3 linked regions of the Canis lupus familiaris genome follow. The protein of the gene in region 1 interacts with the protein of each later gene in a biochemical or structural test. Links are inferred from orthologs where the notes say so. Each region holds a gene or a part of one and is shown in the gene's direction. Other genes may lie near its edges.

Region 1 (5,876 bases):
AAACCAACACCATTTTATATCACACTCCCAGATTGTGTAGGTCAGGGAGGGAGATGGGATGGTTTATCTGGTGATGTGGGGCAGGGCTTCCGGTTCTTGGGCCTCAATTTTCAGATTAAGAGAAGCCGCACCCCAGCGCCACTCTCCCCTGCACCTGAGCTGAAGTCAAAAGGGGATGAGACTTCTGGGGGTCTTGGGAGGCCACATGTTTATAGGAGAGGAATGCGAGTCATTTGGTTGGATCAGGAGGCCACACGGTGATTGCTTTTCTTCCTTGAAAGAGGTGGAATCTAATGTCCTGCCCTTCACCCAGGAGGACTCATGTCTTGGGCTTGACTAGTGAAAAGCTGCCAAAGTTTGGTTTCTGGCACTGACCAGTGGGTTCCCACCGAGACTTGTGAGCAGGCCTCTCAGAACACCTGCCCTTGGAATCCAGCTGCCAAAACCCCACAGGAGTTGTGTGGAAGGGCCTGGGGCTGGCAGCCTCGGCTGAGCGCTGGCCCGGAGTGGGGGGGGGCTCCAGCATGGACCTGACCTGACGGCAACGGCAGGAGAGCTCCGGCTATGCTCGAGCAGCCCACAGAACAGCAGAGGCAGCTGCAGGTTGCTGCTCCGAGCCAGTCCACTGAGCTGTTCCTTACCCGGCGGTAGATCCTGCAACAGGTGGATAAGGGTGCGGTGGCCAGAAGGGATCCCCTTCCTCTGAAATAAACACATGCTAGAAGATTTATGGTCGCCGTCACCTCTGAGGTTTGCTTCAAACCTGCTGTGTGTGGGGGAGGAGGGAGGGCACAGGTGGAAGAAAGGCCGCAGGCTGCTAACTGCTGAAGCTAGCTGCCAAGCCCACCGGGTTCACAGTACTCTTCTTTGGACTTTGGTGCATGTGGTGGGGCACCTGCAAGACAGGGCCCGACGGCCTGGCCGGCCCGTCTTCTCACCCCGTGGCCCCTCCTACACTGTCCTGGGGCAGGTCTGTGTGAGCAGAGCACCAGGGACCTTGCTTCTGAGATTCAGCTTCTAAGAGCCAGTGCAGCTTCGCCTCCAGTGCTTGCTGTTTCCCGGCTCTTGTCCTCTGTCCATGGTCCATCTGTCCGCCTCTGAGGCCTCACCTGGGACAAGTCAGCTACCTTGCTGTGGGCAGCCCTCTGGAGAGGTTGGGAGTGCCAGGTGGCACTGAGTCCTCCAGCGCAGGAGGAACCAGACTCCTGTTCATAGCATCTGCAAGAGCCTAGGGACCGGGGCTCTGGCTGGCGGCTGGCCTGCGACCTCACAGACCAGGAGCCAGGGCCGCCTGCCAAGCAGCTCCCTGATCTCAGCCGTAGAACTGCTGTGTCAAGCTGCTAAATACCATGGGAACGTTTTTACACTGTAATAGATCACGTATAAAATGTGTTTGAATTTTCCTACAGCTGGTTTTTTTTACTTTTTGTTTTGTTTTTCAAAAGCACTTGGGTGATCTGCAAGCCGACCTTTTCCTCTCCCAGCCGCTGGGCGTGTAGGGCGGCGGGCCGGGTGCGGGCTTGCACAGGGGAAGCGGGAGAGCAGCACACCGAGGCGCTCACCACGAGGCTCTGCACACACAGCCGAGGCTCTGCACACACAGCCGGCGCGCGGCTCCTACGTCACGCAAAATCTGCACATATTCCCCCGGTACTAAAAAATATCTCCAAACCGGTAGCCAGGTTCGTAGCTTGCCTTCAGTTCCCTCCGCACAGGTGCCGCGCGGGGCCGAGCGCCGGGCCGAGGGCGGGGCGCGGGGGGGGGGGGCGGCACCTGCCGGGGCTCGGCGGCGCGCGCGGCTCATTCGGACACCTGCCGGCCTCGGGGAAGGGCGGGCGGAAGCGACCGGGCCGGCCGCACCGGGAGCTTCCGGATTAGGCTGCGAGGAGCGCCTCGGGGCCGGACCCCCCTCCGCCGCGCCGGGACCCGGGGACGCCCCGCACCGGAGAGCACCCGGCGCCCCGCGAGCGGCCCCGGCCCCGCCCCCGCGGACGCGCCCACGGAGGCCGGCTCCACAAGATGGCGGCGGCGCGCTCCCGGCGGCCCGTGCGCGCGCATGCGCCGTCCGCCCTCCGCCGTCCGCCCGGCGCGAGCGGAAGTCGCGTGACCCCGGAAGTGGCCGGCCGGGCGCGCGCGGGCGGGGCGGCGACGTTCGTCATTCCGTGCGGGAGGGAGCGCGAGAGCGGCGCGGTCGAGCCTCCGGTGAGCGGCGGCGGCGGCGGCGGCGGGCAGGGCGAGGCGGGGCGGGGCGGGACCGGGAGGGCGGGCGCCGCGGGGCCGGGGGTGCCGCGCCTTTGTTCGCGCCGCTCGCCGGGGTGGGCGCGGGCCTCCTCGGGGGCCACCGCCCGTGTCCCGCGGCGCCCCCGTCCGCGCCGCTGCTCGCCGGCAGACTGGCCGGCGCCCCCTCCCCGGGGATGGCGGGCGCGGCGCCCTCACGGCGGCGTGGTCCCGAGCACCCCTCCCCGCGCGGCGCGCCCGCCCGCCCAGATTGCGGAGCGCTGCGGAAGGAAGTGTGGGCCGCGGCCATCGCTCTCGGAGGATCCTGTCCCCCGCGGCCACACTTGGGTGGCGTCAGGGCGTGAGCCTTCTAGAGGAATTCCAGAGGAAGCGGCCGGGAGGCCTGGAACAGCGGCTGGCCCCACCCCGCCGGCGGCGGTCCTTTGTGGGGCTCGGGCCGCCCCAGGCGACCCCAGGCGGCCCGCCGGTCCGTGGGGACGGGCAGGCCGAGGTCTAGGGGGCCAGGGCCCCGGCCCACCTCCCGCGCCGCCCGGAGGACCCGAGCGGGCTTCCGTGTCCCGGGGCACGCTGTCCGAGCCGCCCGGGGCCAGGATCCCGGAGGAGGATCTTGAGACCATGTGGGCACTGCCGCGCTTCCCAAATCGTGGCTCACGTACCCTGGCCGTTGGAGAAGAGGTTGGCGGGTACTTAGGGCTCCTGGTGAGGGGCCGGGACCCACCTGTGGGACTCGGGCTGGCCGGGTCACCAGAGCTGCGCTGTGGGGACTTGCTTCCCTGTTAGAACCGGGCCCAGGGAGTGTGTTTGGTCAGGGAGACCCAGGAGGAGGTGTCGCTTGGGGAGAGAGTCTGGGCAGCTGCAGAAGAATCTCAGGACTTCAGAGGTGACCCCTCCCTGTCGGGGCTGGGAGTGCTGTCTTCTCCCCCAGGCTTGGGAGAGGGATGCCTGGTCTTTTCAAGGAGCGGGTTGCAGGCCCCACTTGGTTCTGGGTGCTCTGTCCCAGTTTCCAGCAGGTCCCCGAGGTGGGCAGGGCAAGGAGTGTGGCCCTCTCTGGGCCTTAGGAGCCTGTTTGGGGGGTGAAGCTGAGTCTGCAGTTGCTTTCCTCCCGAAGGCTTACATCCCCTTGTGCCCAGACAAGGGGCCGGGTTACCTGCAGAGGGCCCTTCAGTACAGCGCACCTGCACCAGCGGGGGGGCTTGCTGAGAGGCAGGAGAGGGAGATGTGCGTCCCTTCAGGCTGACACAGCCCTGTCCCTGCCCACAGGTGTCCCAGACCAGCTAGGAGTGAGCATGGCTGAGCAAGAGCCCACAGCTGAGCAGCTCGCGCAGATCGCAGCTGAGAACGAGGAGGATGAGCACTCTGTCAACTACAAGCCCCCTGCCCAGAAGAGCATCCAGGAGATCCAGGAGCTGGACAAGGATGACGAGAGCCTGCGCAAGTACAAGGAGGCCCTGTTGGGCCGCGTAGCCGTGTCTGCTGGTAAGTGGGCTGAGGCAGCACCAAAAGGGATGCTTGTCACTTCTGGGTTTCAGCCGCCAGCCCCACCCCCCAGCCTCCAGCAAGTGGGAGGTGGGGAGGCACTCCAACCCACTCTCCCTCCGCAGACCCCAACGTCCCCAATGTTGTTGTGACCCGCCTGACCCTGGTGTGTAGCACAGCCCCGGGCCCCCTGGAGCTGGACCTGACAGGTGAGTGGCATCACTGAGGTCCTCCCGCCTGCCACCCTGCTGTTTCCGCTGAAACTAGTTCTCGGAACGCGGGTGCCCCCTTGTGGGGGGCGCGAGAAGCGCAACCAGGAAGTCTGCAGGCTCTGGCTTTGGAGGGACCTGGGCGGCGGGTGGGGTCAGGGTGGGGGCCGAAGGAGCGCCAGGCGCTGCAGATGGGAGATGCTGAGGTGGGCAGCTTCCTGCAGCTGAGCCTTTTAGTGCAATCTTCTTGGGCACAGGGGACCTGGAGAGCTTCAAGAAGCAGTCCTTTGTGCTGAAGGAGGGCGTGGAGTACCGGATAAAGATCTCTTTCCGAGTAAGGCAGAGGCTGTGGGAGGAGCTGGGAGGTGTCGGGCCTGGAGGGCCCCACCGAGCTCTGCCTGGGTTCTCCCCCTGCAGGTGAACCGGGAGATTGTGTCGGGCATGAAGTACATCCAGCACACGTACAGGAAAGGCGTCAAGAGTGAGTCGGGGGTTGGCCCTGCCCCCGAGATGGCGTGGCACCACTTAGGTGGCCTGTGGGAGGGGGCAGGGTGGAGGTGGCCGCCCAGGGCTCTGGGACCAGGAGGGAGAGGAAGATGGTGGTGTGTGCCCTTAGCCCTGGTGGGATCGGGAGCACCGGTGACCAGTGTGTCTCCTGCACACAGTTGACAAGACCGACTACATGGTGGGGAGCTACGGGCCCCGGGCAGAGGAGTACGAGTTTCTGACCCCCATGGAGGAGGCACCCAAGGGTATGTTGGCTCGCGGCAGCTACAACATCAAGTCCCGCTTCACAGACGACGACAAGACTGACCACCTGTCCTGGGAGTGGAACCTTACCATCAAAAAGGAATGGAAGGACTGAGCCCTGGCCTGGGAGGCGGGCAGGCCTTCGGACAGACAGACGGACCTGTCTGACACGCCCCACCCCTACTGCCCCCACCCCATCCCAACCCCTTACCAAAGTGCTGACGGGTCTGCTCTCCCTGGCCTACCCTTCCCATCCCTCCCGGCCCCACCCCGCAGGCCCCAGCCTCCTCGGTGGTCTCGCCTTGCTGCTTCTGCCTGTGCTGGGGGGGGGAGGGGGGAGGGAGCCTCCAGGCCAGGCCCCCACCTCCCCTTCCGTACCCCTTCATGTTCCCCCACCTGTCCTCACCTGACCTGAGGCCCTGGCTTTTCCGAGGGAATCTCGTGGGGGTGCTCGGGTCCCTGTGGGCCTTCGCAGTAGCCCTGAATCCTGTTCTTTCTCTTCTTCCGGGGTGGGGGTGGGGTGGGGTGCATGATTCGAGGCCTTTTGGGGGCCAGCCACCCTCCTGCTTTCACCTGTCCCCAGTCAGTTCATCCATCGCTGTCCATAACCGTCTAACCATGATGCCTTAACATGTGGAACGTGTGCTGTGGGGGCCGTCACTAACCTCTAACCCCCCCGTGTCTGCATGAGCATGTGGTCTCCCCCGGTCCTTGCCCCCTCCGCAATCCCCGTGGCCCGGGGAGGTGTGTGGGATGTGCTGCTGCTGCTCCCCTGCCCACCAGGGCCTAGCCAGCCCCCTCCCCTGGCCAGGGCAGTGGGGGTGGCTCCAGGGGCTTGGGGAAAGCCAAATTGCCAAAACTGAAGTTGCCTCCATTCCCATGTGGGAGGCCAGGTGTCCTCACGCCTCTGCCTTCTCTGTCCCAGGGGGTGGTGCAGGAGCCCGGGGCCCCAGCACACAGCCCTCGTCGGACAGAGCCAGCGGCCGAGCCTTACTTGTCCCACCCGGGCCTGCCGGCCTGGTGTCGTGTGCCTGGTCGGTCAGTATTTATTGCCTCCATATGTGCCGTCCTCTGGGCCCCCTGGCCTGCCACCTCTGCCCCCAGGCTCGGTGCCACCATCCCCGGCAGGCCATCCCCGGACCCAGCCAGGACAGCTGCGGGACCAAGCCGCACAGTCGGAGCCCTCCCCTGTGCCTCCCTCCC
Region 2 (5,686 bases), on another chromosome or scaffold:
GAACAGTGAGCCTGGTATCCTGGCAACTATATCCTTATCTGGTTCATTTACTATCAGTCCATTACGCAACAGCAGCACTCAAATGTTTGTTCAATTGAATTATTGACCGAAGGCCCCACCCTTTTATTTGCTCCTGGTCTAGAAACACAGAGGTAATTATACCGAGTGGTTTCGTTTGTCATAGATTTACTGGAAATTTTTAACAGCAAAGGGGACGATGTTGCTCTACTATCCTTGAAGTTTCAACTTCTCCTTAAGGAAGATCTTCATGAACAGAGCAAAAAGGAGATGTCCTTTGCCCTGGGAACATGTTTGTTTTGAAATAACAGCAAGCAAAAGATGCTTTAAAAACCAAACCAAACCAAACCCGTGTAGAAGTGTGATTTCAGAACACTGTTACAGTACTGAGCAACAGAGTGAATTTCAGGAAAAGAAGGCCTAGGAGATGGAAATGTCATTGGAAATCAACTCCCCTGGAGAGTCTATTCTCAGAGCCGATGGGACCGTGAACCCGTTACTACCTTGCAGGAGGGCAATGCAACAATAAATACCAAAGCTTTAAAAAACGCTCACTCCTGCTACCCCAGTAACTCCAGTTTGGGGCGTATAGTCTAAAGAAATCAAGTTGTGAATTTTTTGTCACAAACACGCCCAGCCCAGCATGGTTTCTCAAACAGGGACAACTCAGCCGCTCAATAACAGAGACATTGGGTGAGGGCCACGAGCACAATGGGAGTGAACAGTAATTGGCCGTTAAAAATGTCCTAAGGGTTAGGTATTTTTCCAACTTTATTTTTTTAAATATTTATGATAGAGAGAGAGAAAGAGAGAGGCAGAGACACAGGCAGAGGGAGAAGCAGGCTCCATGCACCGGGAGCCCGACGTGGGATTCGATCCCGGGTCTCCAGGATCGCGCCCTGGGCCAAAGGCAGGCGCCAAACCACTGCGCCACCCAGGGATCCCTCCAACCTTCTTTAAAACATATCTTTACACACATAAAGAACTAGCCAAGAGGGGCACCTGGCTGGCTCAGTTGGCGGAGCATGTGACTCCTGACCTCAGGGTTATGAGTCTAGGCCCCAGAGTGGACACGGGACCTACTTAAAAACAAAAAACAACTCAGAGGAAAAAATACCAAAATATTGGCACTTTAATGGTCTGGTAACATCAACTCCAGAACTTGGTATAAGGCGTGGAACTAGTAAACGCTCAACGCACCGGAAACGGACAACGCACACATAAGGGAAGAAATTTCAACATTTTTGGCTCAATGAGCAGAAGTTATCTTTGGAAAATGGTAGAGCGTGTGGCATTTGCTTCCTTAGAAATTTAGGTTCTGAATTTTCTGGCAGAATCTCGTCCTCCCCTCAGAGTTCTCACAGAAGTCTAGACTCATGCCCTTCGCCAGGTGGCACAAACATGGCGGCCGGCCCGCCCCCGCCCCCGCCCCCGCCCCCGCGCCCCCATCTCTTACCACCCTCTGGAGCCGAGCGGGCCCCAGCCGAGCGCGTCCGAGCGCTCCCGAACGTCCCCGAACCCGGCAGGAAGCCCGGGAGCCGCGCGGGCAGGAGCGGCCCCGCCCCGGAGCCTGGGAGCGGCGCGCCGGCGCGGGGGAGGGGAGACCGGATGTGAGTGGAGCGGCCATTTCCTGTTTCTCCGCAGTTTTCCCCCAGCTTTGGGTGGTGGCCGCGGCTGGGCTCCGGCTTTCCGTCGGCGGAAGGCGAGGCGGCGTGGACAGCGGCCCCGGCACCCCGCGCCCTGCCGCCTGCAGCCGCGCGCCCGCCCGCGGCGCCCCGAGCCCGCCGCTTCTCGCGTCAGCGCCCGCCCGCCGCCGCCGCGGCCCAGCGAGCGGCCCAGATGCAGGCCATCAAGTGTGTGGTGGTGGGAGACGGGTGAGTGCGCGGGCCGGGGCCGGGGGCCGGGGGCCGGGGGCCGGGGGCCGAGGCCGAGGGTGGGGCCTGGGGGCCGGGCCGGGCGGGCTCTCGCGGGCCCGGAGCCGGCCTCTCCGCGGGGCGCGGGCCACCACTCACTCCCTCCGGGACTGGGAGGCACGGGGCCTGGTTCCGGCTCTTTTTTTTTTTTTTCTTTGCCTTTTTTCTTTTTTCTTTTTTTTCTGATGGGGGAGGGAGTCGCCGAGCGGCGGCCGGAGGGAAAAGTGAACTCCACCCTCCCGCCTTCTGGGCCCGCTGCGCGCGGGGCGGGACCCCCCAGCCGCGCCGCCACCCGCGCTCGTCCGCCCCTACAGCGGTGGGCTTGGAGTTGCCTTTCTTTCTCTAAGGGGGGGCGGGGAAGGACCCTTTCTGGGTTTTTACATCAGCCTCTGGAGCCCGGTTATAAGCTTCCGTGTGTCCCGGCGACCAGGTCGATAGTTCTTGAGTATTTGCCTGGGCTGGTTTGGCGACCCCAAACTGATTTCCCGTATCTTCCGCTTGTACTTAGCCGCTTTTAAGATTTTTCCCTCCCTTTGGTGATAATTCTTGTACTTTCCTTGGAGAAACTTTTGGGATTCTAGCTACGAGAAGCTAGGTGTGATTAAGACTGATCTTTTCTCTGAATGTGGTGTGGTCATAAAAAAAAAAGGAAGAGAGAAAGAAAGAAATTTGCTTTCGCTGCTTGCATTAGGTATGGGATGTAGCAGAACAGGCTCCCTGAGCGGAGCTGCCCTGTGACTCAAGGCATTTCTTTTCATTACTGTCTGTGGTGGTTACAAGGCCCTAGAGGAAGACAAGACTTGGCTTATGCAGTTTTTTTTTCCCCTCCCATAGAAACAAAAATCTCAGTGTAATCCGAGCAAAATTGTGTATCTCAGCAGTGCTCGAGTTAGTTGAGTGTTAACAGCGAAGATCCAAGAATTACTATCAGTTTCATCAAACTCAGTGTAATTGGTACATTTTTCAAGTCTTGTAAAATCGAAGGAAGAGTTCTGGCATCGCTCTTCCTTTTGATTAATATTCCCCAAACTTGTCATTAGGACTGATGTGGCTTTTATGCCTCCCAAGTTGTGAATTAGCTCATTTAGATTGTTGTAAATTAGACATTTTGAAACTGTTGCTACAACTATTTCAGATGTAAGGACAGTTGAACTAATTTTTTAAAAGATGCCCATCTGTGTGATTTGTCAGTCTTCAACGTGTGAAACGTTATTAACACTTCATGGTTCTGTGCATATAGCTAAAAATTATGACTCTCACCTATTTAGGAATATGTATGTTTTTTGTTTTTGTTTTTTAAACCCTTGAAAAGAAAGCTTTTCTTTCATTTGGGGTCCAAAAACTTCAGTTAATTAGTTTAATAGGGAAATCAGTACATTGGTTTAAATGAAATTTGATCCTTTTGTGTAATGAGTTAACTACACATATATCACATTGTCTTATGAACACTTTAACTGCATTTCCTTTAAAAATTTAAAAATGCTGAATCTGTAATGCTTAGAGTATGAAATAATGCTGTTTTTTTTAAATTGCTGATAATTCAGTATCTAACTTTAGAATGTAATATTCTTTTTTTTTTTTTTTAAGATTTTTATTTATTTGACAGAGAGAGCACAAGCAGGGGGAGTGGCAGAGGGAGAGGGAAAGAGAGAGGCAGGCTCCATGCCAAGCAGGGAGCCGGATGCGCCACTTGAACCCAGGACCCTGGGATCACGACCTGAGAGGAAGGCAGACACTTACCTGACAGAGCCACCCAGGTGCCCTAGAATGTAATATTCTTAATTGAAAATTTCTGAAACTAAACATAAGCACAGCAGACCTACTTAATGCTTACAGATGATGGACCCCGAAGATTTGTATTGCCTTGTGTATCTAGTCACATACTTGTTGAATGCCTGTTGTGGGATCTGGATCCTTACTTCGAATCCCCACTCCCAATGATTAGGGAGGAACCTGGGCATATTCACACTCCTCTCCCAGGACAGGGACCTCAAGTTGAAGTGGCGAGGATTAAACAAGTTGCTGGGGGACGCCTGGGTGTTTCAGTGGTGCCTGCCCGGCTCCAGCTCTGGTCGAGATCCTGGGATCGGGGATCAGGCTCCCTGCAGAGAGCCTGCTTCTCCCTCTCCTTGTGTCTCTGCCTCTCTTTCTCAGTCTGTCTCATGAATGAATAAATACATAAATCTTAAAAAAAAAAATAAACAAGATGCTGAATACTAAGTGCCTCCCAGGTGCCTGGCCCCAGGTGAGAAAGTGCAGGCAGCCAGCCTCATATAGTGTTGCTCTTTCTCTTAATCTGAGGCACTGTTGGGCCCTGTGTGGGAGGTCCAAAGCATAAAACAATTCTTGGCTTTAAGTTTTCATTCGATTTATTTGGTACTGTATTTGACATTGATGTAGACTGGGGCAAAGCCCTGTTAGAAGTAAACAATTCAAGCTCTGTTTATTTATTTTTTAAAGATTTATTCATTTATTTAAGTAATCTCTACACTCAATGTGGGACTCAACCTCAGGACCTTGAGATCCAAGAGTTGCACGTTCCTCCAACTGAGCCAGCCAGTTGCCCCCTCTATTACTTTAAATAAGGGACAACATACAGCAAACATTACTTCAGTGAAAAAGTTACATACATGACTTTCCAAACCAAAAATATTTTTTTGCTTTGACCCAAACAAAACATACCTGATGATATACTTGGAATGTTCTTTTATTCAAAAATTGTTAAAGCTGTAAACGTGGGTGTAAATTTTGTGGGGCAAAGAACTCAGTGCTGTGGGACTTGTAGTTAAGGGGAGTTTAAGCAATAAAGGCAAATTGAAGCTGCACAAATTGCAAGCTTCCTTATCTAAAAAATATTCTTGGGAATTAGGTTAAAAGTTATATCATAACCATATTATAAGTAGGATCAACTAGCCTATATTCTTTTTTTTTTTTTTTTTTTTTAAGATTTTATTTATTCATTCATGAGAGAGACAGAGAGAGGCAGAGACACAGGCAGAGGGAGAAGCAGGCCCCATGCAGGGAGCCCGTTATGGGACTGGATCCCGGGTCTCCAGGATCATGCCTTGGAGGCAGGCGCCAAACCGCTGAGCCACCGAGGGATCCCTAATTAGCCTATATTCTTATAAATTATTTCCTATATAGCAGTTCACTGGCATTAAGTATAAAATGTGAAGTGACATTTTGATACTGTTTAATTCTGCAGATCCTTCTCTTGGTCCTAATTCTGTTAGTCCTTCCTGAACACAGGGTCTTTTACTTTGACTTGGGGGATCTCTGCCCCCAAGATTTTCTCTCAGCTTCGGTAAGACAGCATCTCACATTCAGATGTTTCTAAACATTTTTAATAGTGTTGCTTTGACTTTGGTTGACCAGAAGCTGGGAGTGAGTGACCTGAAGCCCCCCTACGTTCACTCCAGATTGGGCAAGTGGTCTCATCATCCCAGTGTCTAATTTAGACATTGCTTTCCAGGAAATTGTTTTAGTTCAGTGTGAAAAATACCTTCCATGATGATGTCATCTTTTTAGGAATGTACACCACTTAGTCTCCACTCACTTCCATTGAATAATCAGTGGGGAAAAAAAATCAATGAAGGTATGATCCATGAATTTAAGTACCTCATGAATTGTCTTTGTGTATTTTTGTCTTGAGGCATGGGGTTCCACATTTTTGACCGGTTGTAAAGGTGTTTGAAATCTACACTGGCTTCTAAATTTGAGTTTGTTATTTGCCTCTGATCTTGGTGGTTAAAATT
Region 3 (5,982 bases), on another chromosome or scaffold:
GATGTCTCTCCTATTCTCCCATTTGACACTGCTGTTTGTCTCCTTTCAATATTCCAGAACATCCATTGTTAGATGGTCTAAACCAGGTTGACGCATGGCATGTAAATTCCTGGCTTGTATTGAAATAATTTCCATCAAATGATTCTTTGACATATATTTTTTAAATTGTAAAATGTTATTTTTAAAAATATTTTTTAATAATAAATTTATTTTTTATTGGTGTTCGATTTATCAACATACAGAATAACACCCAGTGCTCATCCCATCAAGTGCTCCCCTCAGTGCCCGTCACCCTAAAATATATTCCAACAGTACAAATAGGAAAAAAACTTCCCAGTGTTTTTATATGAATAGATGGTGTGGTTTGGGATAAAAATTTTAGTAATAGTATTATATATTGATTCAAAAAGTGCTTGTATAATCTGTCTCATTTGTGTGAGGATTTTTAAAGAAATTCTATGTTCTATGAAAATCAAAAAATATTTCAATATTTTATAGATCATGTGTTTTTAGTATTTAAGTATACTAATGTTATAAATACATACTTGATTACCTTATATATTCAAATGATAAAGATTATTTTTAAATATTCTCGACAAAATAGGATACTTTATATATGGAGTTGCCTTATACTTGGACGTACTCAGTTTATGACCTTGATGCACATACTAGAAAAGAAAACAAATTGGGAATTACCTAAAGTTTTAATTTTAGGGATTAGAAAATGAGCCACAGAGTAAAGCCAACTAACGAAATGAAAAGTGATGAGGAAAGAGAAATTAACAAAAAAAGAACAAAAAAGAAACAGAAGATCAACGAAACTAAAAGCTGGCTTTTAAACCAATAAACTGGGGATCCCTGGGTGGCTCAGCAGTTTAGTGCCTGCCTTCTGCCCAGAACGCCGCGTGATCCTGGAGTCCCGGGATCGAGTCCCACATCGGGCTCCCCGCATGGAGCCTGCTTCTCCCTCTGCCTGTGTCTCTGCCTCTCTCTCAGTCTGTCTCTCATGAATAAATAAATAAAATCTTAAAAAAAATAAACTAAGCAAACTTCTGGCAAGATTAACAAGCAAAAGAGAAGGTAACATTTAATAGTATTAGGAATGAAGAGAGGATCATAACTGCTAATAGATATAAAAAAAATCACGAGGGAATACTATGATAACTTTCTAGAAATATGCACCAAGACTTGTAGAAAATTAGATTTGGGTAGAGATTTAAATGTTTCAGCCATGTTACATCTGAAATAATGTAGACATTGAGTAAGGCAAGTTAACCAAGCAAGTTCAGATACAGATTTGGGAATTACTAACTTATAAATGATGTGAAAAGCAGGTCAGTTTTGAGGATGTTTTAAGACCTGAAGTGATAAGGATCTGAACTAAGGCAGTAGCGGGATGAAAAGAGGATATAGAATGAAAAGATTAGGTCTGAAGTACATTTAGGTTTCTGAAAGTAGGTGACTGTGTGGAGGAAGTATTAACATTTCCTAGGTAAGAGTTAGGGAAGTGAATTTCATAGTTGAATTATTAGATAAAAACTATCTCAGATAGAAGTTCCTTTTAAAGAGAGGTTTATTGACACATAATTGAGCAAAATTTAGGGAAACGACCTTTGATGTTTATTTTTTTTATATTTTATTTAAAGTTAATTTGCCAACATAGAGTATAACAACTCATCTCATCATGTACCCTCCTTAATGCCCATCACCCAGTTACCCCATCCCTCCACCGACCTCTCCTTCTGCAATGGCTTGCTTGTTTCCCAGAATTCGGAGTCTCTCATAATTTGTCTTTTTTTTTTTTTTTTTTTGACTTGGAAAATTTTCGGGTTTATTGTAGCATATTAAGAAAGCAATTGATACTGTAGTTTTAAAACAAAATTGTGTATTGATTTAGTTGATGCTGCTATAATGGATGAATTTTCTTGGCAGAGATAGTATCAATGGAAGCTGATTTTCAAATAATAATTGAATATACCTCCCTGAAGGTTTTCAAATTGGAATAATATATCATTTTTTTTCTGGACAACTAATAATGATTAAAAATGTTAGATCTTTTGGTTGGTTGGTTAGATGTTTTTAAGAACATTTACCCTAAAACAGTATAGCATGACGGTTTTCTTGGATTAGGATTCACTTCTTTTGCTTTACAGGGAGAAGATAAAGTTTAACATTGGTCTCAAAGACAACTAAATTTCAGTAAAGGCCACCAACTTGCTGGTGAGTAATATGCAGACTGCTAGTATGTAGTCTGTGGCTGTTTAATACACCATAGATAAACTACTCAGTATATTTTTACTGAGATTTTTAAACTTTCAAGAAGAAAATAATTTTCTTTAAAAAGTTATCTTTTTAGAGTTTACGTTATAATTTCCTTTGTCTTTGGCAGTGCAAAAAAAAGAAAGGTTGAAAGTGTTCTTGAGTTCATCTCTTTAGAATTTGAATCTATATCTTCCACTTTACTATCCCTCTGTCTCCTAGGCTGGGTGTAGAGGTGAACTGGACGCAGCCAGAGACAGCATTTAGGTCCTTAGTGGTCTTGCTTCCCTGCTATGCATGGTCTCTGAGTAAATCAAAACTTTCGGTTGGTGATCAGTATGCATTAGATTATGTTGTTTGATATGTGTGCTATTTTAAATCACAGCTGATATGTGTGCTATTTTAAATCACAGCTATAAATATTTTTAGAGAAGGTGAAATGATAGTAAAAGAACATTGAAGATTGGAGTAAGAGAATTCTGTTACTTTATTTTAATTTTTTTTTTAGAGAGCTTTGTGTTAAACTCAGTTTAAAGTGTTTTTTTTATTCTATATAAATTACATTAAAATCAAGACATTATACAAAAGTAATAGATCCATTATGCTTTTTTTTTCTTTAACTGAAGGTGACATCAGAATTCATAAAAGTCAATTTTTAAAGAAGGTGACAAAAAGAGAAGGAAAATGCCGAAACCAGTAAGTGTATTTTACTTTTACCACTTCTTAATAAAATATCAGGAGCATTAAATTTCTTTTGGAACAAGGCAAAATGTTATGGTAGAGTCATTGGGAAGAAAAAGACACTGATAACTGCTGTTGCTTGTTCTTGATTAATGTAGCTTCAGCAAACTACTATGTAAGCCAGTAGAGAAGAGGTATAGCTTACATTGCAGTTAAGATGAAAATTCATGGGTTCTGGACCCAAACTGTCTCAGTCCATATCCTGGCTCTGCTGCTTACCCTCTGTGACTTCAGTTAGGTTACTTTAGACTCTCCAATTCTTAATTTCTTTCTATAAAAAGTAGAGATGTAATTAGTTGCTTACTTAGAGGGGTTTGGTGAGAGTTAGAAGAACTCGGTACACATTCAGTGCTTAGTAAATAGTAACTTCTTGTTAGATGGGAGGAATTAATGAAAAGTTGGAAGGATCCATGCATTAATTTTCTCATAATTCTAGCTTTGATTCTACTGCTACCAATGCTCATATAGTTTTCTATTTTTTTAAATTTTAGGGTGTATATATGATTTTACTTAGTTTTATAATTATATAGTTCTTGACGTTTATTTTTCTTCTCTTGGCATAAATGTTTTTACTTCATCTAACAAAATTGGGATTTTTTTTCAATATTTCTTTTGGCCAATTACCTTTTTAAGCAAATCATTGGTTAATAGCTATTGGAGGTTTCTGGCTGGCATGAATATCTCTTTGGAATTACTTTAAGGACTCAACAGGTAGGTAACAAAGTATGAATTTGCATTGTTGGAAGGAGAGAAGAATAAGAAGAAATAAAAGGCATTAACATCAGACAGGAAGAAGTAAATTTTCCTGTTTGCAGATGACATGATTGTTTATGCAGAAAATCTTCAAGAATCTAGAAACAGCTACTAGAACTATAACTGATTTAGCGAGATTGTTGGACCCAAGGTTATATTTTTTAAAATCCATGACCTTTCTTATATACTAGTAGCAAAATTTGAAAAATAAAGTAAAAATGTCTATTTGTAACAGCATCAAAGATATAAAATACTTAGGAATAAATTTACAGAAGCTATATAAAATCTCTACACTGAAAACTTGTGAGAAATTCAAGACCTAAATATATGGGATAATATTCTGTAATGTTAATAGATATGTCTAGAAAATATTAAGGTGTCACTCCTACACAAATGTAATGGTAGATTGAATGCAATTACTAGCAGTTTCTTTGGCTAACATGGATGAGCTGATTGTAAAATGTCTATAGAACTTCCAGAATTTGGGATCCCTGGGTGGCGCAGCGGTTTGGCGCTTGCCTTTGGCTCAGGGCGCGATCCTGGAGACCCGGGATCGAATCCCACATCGGGCTTCCGGTTCATGGAGCCTGCTTTTCTCTCTGCCTGTGTCTCTGCCTCTCTCTCTCTCTCTCTCTCTCTGTGTGACTATCATAAATAAATTAAAAAAAAAAAAAAAAAAGAACTTCCAGAATTTATATGGCATAGCTAAAGCAATTTTTATAAAGAAGAAAGTTGGAACACTTTCTTCTTTGAAAGTGTGAAGTGTGAAGAAAGTTCACACTTCTGGATTTTAAGACTTCTTCGTAAGCTAGAAGAATAAGACAATGTGGTATTGGTGAAAGGACAGATAAAATAGAATTGGTGGAACAAAAATATAACTACACATATGCATTCATTAGATTTTTGACAAGATTTTCACACAATTCAATGGGGAAATAAAGTTCTTTCTAACATATAGTGTTGGAACAAAGGGTTATCCGTAGAGAAGAACATGAATATTGACACTTATCTCACAATTTACACACAAAATTAACTTTAAGTGGAGCATAGAATAAATACAAAAGCCCAAAATATAAAATTGCTAGAAAACATAAGAAAACATTTGTGACACTGGGATAGGCAGTTTCTTAGATAACATATAGAAAGTTTGAACTATTAAAAAAAAAACACATTGGATTTTATCAGAATTAAAAACTTTTGTTCTTGAAAGACAGCAATAAAAAAATGAAAAGATAAAACAGAATGGGAGAAAGTAATTGCAAGATAAAGTTCTTCTGGAACACAGTAAGATAACCCAATTTTTTAAAAATGGGCAAAAACTTTTAACAGATACTTCAAAAAACGTATTAATAACTAGCAGACACATGAAAAGATCCTCTATATCTTTCATTACAGAGAAACAAAACTACAATGAGTTGCCATTTTATAGTCACCTTAAGGGCTAAAATTAAAAGATTGATAATATCAAGTGTTGGTAAGGATGAGAAGCAACCAGAACTGTTGATATTTCTGATAGGAACATGAAACTTTACAATTACTTTGGAAAACTTACTATAATCAAGTGTAAAACATTTATTATTCCTTACAGTAAGGATTCAAAATTGTATATGCAGTTGGATATAAATTATATATTATTAACTAATAAAATTCTGGAAGAAAACATGTTGTTAATAGTAATATACTTTTATCTTGTAAATTTCTTAGGTCAGGATATAATTAGCCCCCCCTTACCTGCCCCTCTGCAAAAGAGAAAAGAGTCTGATTTTTCAAAACAGAAAGCTTGGAGAAATTTGATTTCCATGTTTTGTTTATTTTTCACTGATCCTATTGGCTCAGCTTCATACTTACTAGATATGTAATCTTGGTCAAGTTTTTAAGTTATAACGTAAAGGTGATTTAATAAGTGCTTTGATTACCCTTAATATATCAGGGTATTATTATTGCTAGGAAGAAATGAAAAAGCTCTAAAAGTTGTATTATAGTGCTTTTTTATTAAAAATTATAAGTAATATTTGTATTTTTATTTATGTTAATATCTAATAAGGTTATTGTATTTAAATGAATTACTATTTTAAGTTTCTCAGTTTTAATTTCTAATGTGGTAAATGTAGATAGATAAGCCACAAAAACTTTTGGGGGTGTTTGGTAATTTTTTTTTTTTAAGATTTTATTTATTTATTCATGAGAGACACACAGAGGCAGAGACACAGGCAGAGGGAGAAGCAGGCT

Evidence for each region.
Region 2: the proteins of ARHGDIA (region 1) and RAC1 are reported together in a solved structure, tested with the Homo sapiens proteins (2 studies listed by BioGRID and IntAct, with this or other methods). The link is inferred for Canis lupus familiaris from reciprocal best matches to the Homo sapiens genes ARHGDIA and RAC1.
Region 3: the proteins of ARHGDIA (region 1) and RDX form a complex in vitro, tested with the Homo sapiens proteins (2 studies listed by BioGRID and IntAct). The link is inferred for Canis lupus familiaris from reciprocal best matches to the Homo sapiens genes ARHGDIA and RDX.

The regions. Positions count from the first base shown.
Region 1 is NC_049230.1:1,241,297-1,247,172, forward strand, and holds ARHGDIA (rho GDP-dissociation inhibitor 1), read left to right. Parts: upstream 1-2,073; 5' UTR 2,074-2,202; intron 2,203-2,775; exon of another isoform or gene 2,776-2,913; intron 2,914-3,498; 5' UTR 3,499-3,524; coding exon 3,525-3,714; intron 3,715-3,839; coding exon 3,840-3,923; intron 3,924-4,180; coding exon 4,181-4,257; intron 4,258-4,340; coding exon 4,341-4,404; intron 4,405-4,588; coding exon 4,589-4,788; 3' UTR 4,789-4,959; downstream 4,960-5,876. UniProt on the Homo sapiens protein: Controls Rho proteins homeostasis. Regulates the GDP/GTP exchange reaction of the Rho proteins by inhibiting the dissociation of GDP from them, and the subsequent binding of GTP to them.
Region 2 is NC_049227.1:11,815,218-11,820,903, forward strand, and holds the start of RAC1 (ras-related C3 botulinum toxin substrate 1 precursor), read left to right. Parts: upstream 1-1,857; coding exon 1,858-1,892; intron 1,893-5,686. UniProt on the Homo sapiens protein: Plasma membrane-associated small GTPase which cycles between active GTP-bound and inactive GDP-bound states.
Region 3 is NC_049226.1:22,603,320-22,609,301, forward strand, and holds the start of RDX (radixin), read left to right. Parts: upstream 1-2,153; 5' UTR 2,154-2,220; intron 2,221-2,885; 5' UTR 2,886-2,943; coding exon 2,944-2,955; intron 2,956-5,982. UniProt on the Homo sapiens protein: Probably plays a crucial role in the binding of the barbed end of actin filaments to the plasma membrane.